Bombyx mori: one gene and its partner. The protein of the gene in region 2 purifies or fractionates together with the protein of the main gene of each other region. This does not show direct contact. Links are inferred from orthologs where the notes say so. Each region holds a gene or a part of one and is shown on either strand. Other genes may lie near its edges.

The links. The genes of interacting proteins can lie anywhere in the genome.
Region 1: the proteins of constitutive coactivator of PPAR-gamma-like protein 1 (region 2) and RNA-binding protein 45 purify together in Homo sapiens (co-immunoprecipitation; 3 studies listed by BioGRID and IntAct, with this or other methods). This does not show direct contact. The link is inferred for Bombyx mori from reciprocal best matches to the Homo sapiens genes FAM120A and RBM45.

The regions. Positions count from the first base shown.
Region 1 is NC_085121.1:998,187-1,002,904, forward strand, and holds RNA-binding protein 45, read right to left. Parts: upstream 2,655-4,718; 5' UTR 2,362-2,654; coding exon 901-2,361; 3' UTR 848-900; downstream 1-847. Other genes in the region: cap-specific mRNA (nucleoside-2'-O-)-methyltransferase 2, read left to right, coding at 4,611-4,718. UniProt on the Homo sapiens protein: RNA-binding protein with binding specificity for poly(C). May play an important role in neural development.
Region 2 is NC_085128.1:7,953,750-7,958,388, reverse strand, and holds part of constitutive coactivator of PPAR-gamma-like protein 1, read right to left. Parts: intron 3,756-4,639; coding exon 3,605-3,755; intron 3,518-3,604; coding exon 3,392-3,517; intron 3,290-3,391; coding exon 3,178-3,289; intron 2,304-3,177; coding exon 2,079-2,303; intron 1,616-2,078; coding exon 1,388-1,615; intron 798-1,387; coding exon 637-797; intron 1-636. UniProt on the Homo sapiens protein: Component of the oxidative stress-induced survival signaling. May regulate the activation of SRC family protein kinases. May act as a scaffolding protein enabling SRC family protein kinases to phosphorylate and activate PI3-kinase.

The DNA of each region.
Region 1 (4,718 bases), on a different chromosome or scaffold from region 2:
TCGGACTTAAGTGCCGATACTTGCCCGATCCAGAACTTTGCTTATCGTTGCATCAGTTCGAGTATGTACATCTGTTATTATAGTTAAATTTCTCTAGTGAGTATTTGGATTCATTAAGTGGTAGGTACCGCGAAGCAATATAACTGAGATTTCAACCTCTATTTTTAGTGTTGGACATATACCTTGTGATGTCTATGGATTTCGTCAAATGATATTAAATCTCCTGGAGAAAAAAGTAATAGTACTCTTATACGAGAATTAAAAAAAAATGCTGTTCGACACTGAAATCTTTGTTCTAGTAATGAATTCATAAAAAAAATCAGTATTTAATTTATTTATTTAAGTTATGAATTACATTCTTGTTTGTGTCACTTTCATAAAATATATTATTGGTGTCCATTGAGATATTTATTTCCCCCCTTTTGGTGACTAACAGTACTAATTTACTGGTGGTAGGACCTCTTGTGAGTCCGCGCGGGTAGGTACCACCACCACCCTGCCTATTTCTGCCGTGAAACAGTAATGCATTTCGATTTGAAGGGTAGGGCAGATGTTGTAACTATACTTGAGACCTTAGAACTTATATCTCAAGGTGGGTGGAGCATTTACGTTATAGATGTCTATGGGCCAGTAACTACTTAACACCAGGTGGGCTGTGAGCTCGTCCAACCGCCTAAGCAACAAAAAAAAATTGTTAATTTTATTTTGCAAATTGACATACTTGCTACTTTGTAATAAACATTTAACAGCAGTTATGAGGGGTGACACATGATGTGCTAAAATGAGGACATGTGGTCGCGATCGTCAGCAGCGAGGGAATGATGAAGTAGAAGAAGAGGTCAATCAGTCAGTTTCAAATATCATAAAAAATAATTTTAATTTACTACAATTACAAAACTGTCAGTCTTTGTTGTTTAACTTCATCCGTTTTCTCTCTATGTCATCATCATCGTCAACACACATCTTCTCTTTCGTATTTTTTTCCTCAGCCTCCAACACTTTCAGATTCACCCCACATAAAGTTGCACCATTTAGAGTTTTAATTGCTTCCTGTGCTGACTTCACTGAATCATATTTAGCAAAAGCAAAATTCTTGTTAGGGTATGTCGTTATTTCTATGAGGCCACCAAATCTACAAAAAGCATTCATCAAAGCTGCCATGGGAGGTGGATGGGGTCTAAAGACTAAGAAACATCTCTGAGCGACTCTGCAGTTACTGCTAGCCAAGGGTTTTATAGGGGGAAGACATACATTACAGAAACCATCATCTTTATCATCTATTGGGCTTTTCCTTCCAATTGTAGCTGTTTTTATTAACGAGGAAGCCTGTGCTATGGCATCTGCAAGCTGCAATAGATTTGGGTTTCCATCTACAGAGTTTTTAATATTATTAACTATGTTATTCAAGGTAGAAGTTGCTTTGGTGAGTGGGCTAATGTCAGGTTTAACACTGATAACCTCTCCAGATGGATATTCAAAATTATTTATAGTTTCGACAGAATAAGCTGCTGCCTTTTGACTGTCATATGTAACTGATGCTCGACAAACACGGTTACCTTGGTCCATAGTGTATTTAAATTCAATCATTCCTGGTACAATATTAAACAGTCTTTCAAGGTGTTTTTGTAGCACTGGTGGTGTGCATTTAACTGACACAGTGTCAAAGTCTTGTTCTTTAGTCTTTGAAATTAATGTCAAATAATCTTTATTAAACTCATCGTTAACATGATGGCCGTGATCAGCATAAACATGAGATTTAGTTAGATTAGAATTACTGGAATAGCAGTCAAGTCCTTCTAAACTGTTCCTGGGCCTTTTAAGCTCATCTTTCGGTGTGGCAAAAATAGCTTTATACGTTTTATCACACTGCTCAAACGCTTTCGCAGTTTCCGAAAAAGTTGTAAAATTCACATAAGCAAATCCTTTACTTTCGTCAGTCAATTTGTCTCTCTGTAAACGCACTGACTCAACTTTTCCATAACTGGAAAAATATTGCCGAATTTCTTTCTCAGTCATCGTTTTGGGAACTTTGATAAATAGTCTTCTGTATTTGTCGTAACTGTTACTTTGATAGTCATTTTTGTCAGAGGCGACCATAACTTTGATGGGTTTGTGATTGTCAAGTAAGGTAGTCATGTGTAATTCCTCTATGGCAGTGGCTGCTGATGATGTTTTAGCATATTTAATGTAAGCGATACCTCTAGTCTCGCCTGTGTTGCGGTCCCTTGGTAGGTACATGTCTTCAATTTCGCCATACTTTTCAAAAAACGGTCGTAAGTCGTGTTCGCGGTATTGTTTGCTGCAAACTATGAAAATTCTGGAATATGGTGGTTTGTCGTCGTTGCGTGCCACATGGTTCATTTTGTATAACGTAGGTTTGGGTAAGCAATTGTAGCACAGTCTGGTTTAACAATAGGTTCAGTCAAAATCACGTCAAAATATTAAACGAAATGTAATCTGTCTAGTCTGTCGTCAACTGTTTCTTTAACTGATTAATTATTTACTGATTTACTACATAATACATATTTCAAGATATTCAACTTTTGAAGTTTTAGAATAAAATAAAGAAGATACGGTACTCAAGCAGGTACCAACGATACATACATACATTAATATTGTAATTTTATATGGTACATAAGAAGCTACTTTTTTTTAAAAGGATTTTATAACCTGGTAACTAAGACCTTTAAGTCGTCTTATTATTATTATTTTTATTGCCTTTGTAGGCAGGCATACGGCCCACCTGATGGTAAGTGGTCACCGTCGCTCATGGACGCCAGCAATGCCAGGGGCAGAGCCAAGCCGCTGCCTACCATAAAGTACTCTCCGCAAGCCTCGTTTGAAGAAGGACATGTCATAGCGCTCGGAAAACACCGTGGAGGGGAGTTCATTCCAAAGCCGGATGGTACGTGGCAAAAAAGATCTTTGGAAACGCACTGTCGATGAACGCAGCGGTTCCAGATAATATGGATGAACTCTGTTCGGATGGCGGGAGGTGCGATGATAAAGAGGAGATGAGGGGATCATCTCGAATAATTCCTCAGAGCATTCCCCATGGACCATACGGTATAAAACACAGAGAGAACCGAAGTCCCTCCGTAGACCCAGAGGTTCCAAGCGATCCGCGAGAGCAAGACTATCGACCATCCGAACAGCCCGTTTCTGTATGGAGTCAAATAGAAGTAGCTGGTATTTGGGAGCCCCGGCCCAGAGGTGAGAGCAGTACTCCACGCGAGGTCGGCCCAGGCGTAAAATACCGCTTCGCTCTGTTGAGGACTCTCAACATTTTAGAGGCCAATTTGGCTTTACCTTCCAAATGACTCCGAAACTGGACATCGCTCGAAATATCGACCCCCAGAATCCCGATACTCGCGGAAAGCTGCGGGGCACTCCTTGAAATTCCAGCGCCATGACAAAAGGGTCCTTCTTCGCAGTGAACGCGCAAACCTGTGTCTGTGTCTGTGTGTGTGTGTGTGCAATGGGTTGAACTGAACTGAATTTAGTTCACCCCACTTGGAGACCCGCCGCAGAGAGTTCTCCACTTCAGACACAAGTTTTAATCGCCTCTCGTGTACAACGCAGCTGTCGACGACAACTGTGATGCTCCGTCCAATCCAAAAAGCTAGCGATCCACTTGCAGAGTCCCTCAGGGATTCCGTAAGCTGGAAGCTTCGATAGAAGTGCCCTATGCCAGACCTTGCCGAAGGCCTTCGCGATGTCAAAGCTCACAGCGAGAGCCTCGCCCTTGCTTTCCAAGGCTTCAGCCCATTTATGTGTGAGGTATACACGAAGGGTAGGCAACGCACTGGCTTAAACGCTGGTGACCGTGGGCGGCGGTGAATCACTTACCATCAGGTGACCCGTCTTGCTCGTTTGCCTCTCGTTGTTATAAAAAAAAAAAAAGATTGCCAGCTGAGCGATATTATAATTTTAATGAAAACTTTTTTTTATATAAAAAATGGTATTATGAAATTAAATAAATGAGATGATATGGGATGAAATATTATCAGTAAAATGGTGGTCATTTACTGAGATTTTTGCAGTGGACTTTTTGAAGGATCCCGAGAAGTTCGTCCAGCGGCTTTGTTTAATTTTCCCACATTTGTGCACTTTCACAGATATTAAATAGTTAATAAACCACCGTTAAATGTGTACATTTAAACCTGAAGAAACACTATTGACTTGACTATTTGTCAAAATAAAACAAATCGCTCCTCGCGTTCCCGCCAAAAAGTTCGTCAATATCATAATGGTGTGCCACAGATTCAGTATCTAACGGACAAGTCTTCGACGATTGTTGGAAATGTTGGAATACTTAGCTGTATGGCCTATAATGCATTTGCGTGTCTAATGGACGGATCAATAAAAAAAGATGGTACATTTTCACACTGTTTGTTGTTCATAAATAAACAATTAATTTCAATTCCCTACAGAGAGATCTGATCACATATATTAGATTTATCGTGTAATAAAACACTGTTGTTTGTAAAACATGAAACATTTACATGTGGGAAACACTTATTACAGCAATCAGCGACGTGAAGTTTGAAGGCTGCTATTGTAAAGAATTCTTTTTATTGTTTTAATTTATATATTGAGTTTAAATCGAAATGTATCATAAATCCGACGATTTTGTTCATTTCCGTCAAAGATTTTGCAATAATGACAATTTCAACGATGAATTATGTGATTTATTCAATAAAAAATTTAAATTTCGT
Region 2 (4,639 bases):
CGCAAAGTTTCAAGTCGAGATACTTTTTTTTTTATCAAATACGTTCACTACTTTTATAAATTACACCACAAACATCATATGATACTGACAACCCAGTATATGATAATAATATGGATATACAGAAATAATAATGTACAGTAGTTTGGGGGGAATAGAGACTTGAGTTAGAATAGGAACAAATCTGGTATGTCACAATACTTTTTTTGAGTTGGTAGATTTAAGTTTGTAGAATTGAAAATGACTTTCATTTAGTGCTTAAGAATTTAAATAACTTAAGATATTAAATAGTTTAATTTAGTCATCATGTTTTGTAACTCATTAAAGATATTAAAAAGTTAATTACCTAAAGTTAGGTACCTATCTAACAACTAAATAGTGCCAGCCCTATCGAAAAACTCTATTGTCCCCATACGTAACCTGATTCACCCCAAAGCCAAGGTGAATCGGGTCAAGCAAGTTTTTTCAGTTTTTGTGTATATTTTGTAATAAACTATGTATCGTATATAAGAATTTAAGCCTCCCGGAACTATTTTAATCTCAATTTTATTGGTATTACCCTAAGAAAAACCATTGAAAATTTGTGTTGGATTTGGAAAGGGTCCCGATTCCCCCCAATCTACGGTATGGTTAAGTTACCCATTAACGGCAATAGTGGCTGGTTTGGCGGGCTCGTTCGGGTCCCGGCGGGGGCGGCGCGAGGGGCGCGCGTGTCCCCGGCCGCGACCCCCGCGTGCTCCGCGCCACCCGCGACCTCCGTACGAGTTCCGAGTCGGAGGCGTGTATCCAACGTAGCCCACCTAGCATCAAGACCAAGTTTGTTTTACTAGCTCCAATGCAAGAAAATTACAACCTCCACAATTTTCATTAGGAAGTGGGCCAAATAATCAGTTTTTTATAAATAATTTACGATGCTGTGGATTTTCTGATGACATGCACCATTGTCATGTACGAGTTTGTCTTTTCACATAAAAATAACACACAACGATACAGACCCGGCGTCGGATTAGCCGAGCCCCAATTTAAAATTAAGTGCGATATCAGAAATGCATGCACTAGTGCTCATGGTATCCTGTGGACGATGGTGGTGCTTGTGTCTAAGCAGTTTATATGCAAAAGTGTGAACACCCAGTAGTTTTATACAGCCAATTTTAATTCAATATTTAGCTCCCTTGTATCCCTTGTACTCTGTATAATTAACAATAAATTTTGCTAGGGTTAGTGTTAGCAACGTCGTCAGATTAAGGCCTCGTGAGCTCACCTACTTGTTAGATTACGCTGACATAGCCTCTCAACTCAAGGCTATCATCAGCTTAGGTAGAAAGAAAAAATACATTAAATTAATTCTTAACATACATTCATAAACTAGTGAAAAGTAAAGTTGAATTACAGTGTGCGCGCTCATCTGTTGGTATCTGGGCGGAGCGCGTGCGGGATAGCTGCCGCCGCCCCACTGTCCGACGACAACGCCCGCGATCTCAAGCCGGCCGCCGCGGCCCCGCCCCCTCGCGCCCCACGTGCCCCCGTCGCTCCCTAGCACGCCCGCCACGAGCGGCAGCGGCGCCATCGCGAACTCCACCTCCAGACCTTCCAAGATCGCCTTTCGCATGCGCTCAACCTGGAGATAAATATATCTATGATTATCTGAGTTCTAAAATATTTCGGCAGTACTGAATACTATGGAGACGAGCTCACAGCCCACCTGGTGTTAAGTGGTTACTGGAGCCCATAGACATCTACAACGTAAATGCGCCACACACCTTGAGATATAAGTTCTAAGGTCTCAGTATAGTCACAACGGCTGCCCCACCCTTCAAAACGAAACGCATTACTGCTTCACGGCAGAAATAGGCGGGGCGCTGGTACCACCTACCCATGCGGACTCACAAGAGGTCCTACCACCAGTAATTAGATTAATAGAACTGCAAAAGTCTCAGGATATAAAAAGGGACTTGAAGGGCAGGACTCAGCAGTAACAAAAAATACATTCAATTAACTACAAAGCTACTCAAAATAACTTAAAAAAAAACAAAAAAAACTTGTAGAATTTAAGATAAAGCAAGTCGATATTATCGTATTACCTTGACGACGATGTCGAGGTTGTTATCGCAAAGCTGAGGAAGATGTTTGCAGTGTGCTGCGCGATGGAGGTTTCGCTGCAGCAGCTTGCCATCGAAGTAGAGCCAGGGTGAAGCTACGAGCCATGGTACAGGAGCACCGCAAGCGTCATTAGCCACGAGCGCCGCCTCCACGCCCGCCATCACCAGCGCGCCTAATTGTACGCCCCGGGAACTGATAGCATTGATCTGTGTAAATAATAAAACAATTTAAACATTTTTTGCTAAGACAGATGAGATTGGAACACAGCAAGATAAATAGATAAAAATCTGTAAGATACCAATTTTTGTAAAAAATATTATAAATATGACCTAAAACTTCCTAAAATAGATCACAATGGCTATTACTAATAATAGAGCACTGTGAATGTTTATGATTACTGTATATCAATATCTGTATATACATATATATAGTTGAAATATTTAAGCGCGATATTTTAATTCATCTAACATATTTTTTCATGCAGGAAGAGAAATATTTGGTCTTGCTCCCTATTTTTAAGGGAAAAAGTCACATTGTGCCTTTATGTTAAGCTGTAGAAAATTGAAAATAGACATTTAATATTGTGTACTTGTCTTTTTCTTGAAACATTTATATTTTAACACTTAACTACGATTTTTTTATCTTTGTAATTTTAAATAATACTTATTTTCATTTGAGTTTGAGTTTTTTCAATTTTTTTTATTGACCTTTGTAGGCAATCCAGGAGTCGAGTCAGGCAGTCAAGCTTTTGTCTAATAGGGTGGAGGTGAACCCCACCGTTTGGCTCCTTGATATATTTATCAAACGATTTAAAAATAATCGCATAATATACATTATTTATATTTCATTCGCCAATAAAACAAATATTTTTAAGACGTAAGGGAAGTAGCGTCATTTGGGAGTTTAAGCAAAAGTATCCTCAGAACAGGGGGTTACAAAGTAATAATTTTGGTATGTGAGTAATATCTACTCTTTTTACTCTTGACAAGCTTTTACTATAGTTTATACAGACCAGATAGTAGAATATCCAGATAGTAGAATATACTATCTGAACAAACAGTAGTTTATCTAAATACTTACATTCATTTCTTGCAAATGTAGTGCATTCATAAGATCTGTCGAAAATGCAGTAGCTAAAAATGCATCCAGCTCTTGCCTTCGTAGTATTTGAATTGGAGATGTCATTATAAATCTAAAATATAGACATATTTGCATTAAATATGAAAACAAACAATATCATACAATGAAGAGTTGAATCTGCTTATCTTCAAAAAAAAAATTTATAAAAATTTACCTCAATACAGTTGCCAGTATGAGCAAGTGCTGGGGCACATAAGTAGTATTCAACATCAGAGGAGTATCTGAGCGCATACAGGAAAGATATGCTCTCATTCTACGGCATTTATCATCCGGAGCAGTTCTAAAATAAATATTTAAAAAAATATTTGTAATTACAGATTACATTTAGCTATAGTAAATTTAAAAAATACTTTGAACACAAGCTCACCCAAACCAGAGCCTCTGTACAGTTGGCACAGGCCAATCCAGTAAAACACCTGGAACAATCTCTGGATTCTTGCCAGGATTTGTGCGGGTGTATATCCATTCTGCTATCAAAACTGTGCATGGACGATCATTAGAGCCACTCGATCTATCATCTGAAATTTAACAGTTCAAACCATTATTTACCATAATTTTTTTTTATTCCCATTGAATATGATCAATGACTTTAAGCATTCTGACTTGAATTTCAAATTCATATTTTCATAATCTTATACCATAACAGTAAACATCTATATTAATAATTGAACTATGATTCTCATACTGACTGTGCAAATTGAATTACATTAAAACTTTGTTGTATCTTTAAAAAGCTTATATGGAAACAATAGCTCCATGCCATGAACATCAATGTAAAATCAGTTATATACATCAGTTGCATAGATCAATTTTAATCTGTAGCAATCTTCGATCAACAATAGTAACCAGATTTCGGGTCGGTGCAGAAAATCCGTCTCGTCAAATAACAGCTCACTTGAAATGTGAGCTCTTATTTTGTTTAGACCACTTCAAACACAGCCAATGTCAACTCGTCTCGCAATGCCGCAGTGTGTATTCAAAAGTTGCAAAAATAATGCCCGAAAAGCAATTTAACGGCCGCAGTATCTTACTTTCGGTAAGTATATGAAGTACAAACTATATTTTAAGCTTTAAACTAATAAATAATATTAAATTTTGAACAAAATTACCGTTTTCTAACCACCGCTACAAACGTTGGCCAAGGCTCGGCCAACACATGGACAAACTTTTGTTTAACAGAACAGTAGATGCATGGAGTAGATTTGTATTGTAATAATTTTTAAGAATTTGTTAGCAGTACTTCAAAATTAGTTGCTTAAAATTGGTTAATGCTGCTTTTGTATCTGTTTGTTAGACTCTCATTAGCTACAAGTTAGCTTTCCTTTTTTATTTTAGCTTTCCTAGCAATCACGTGTGCAGAATGGATCTCGATTGTCGCCAGAGAAACAACTGACTTATAAGC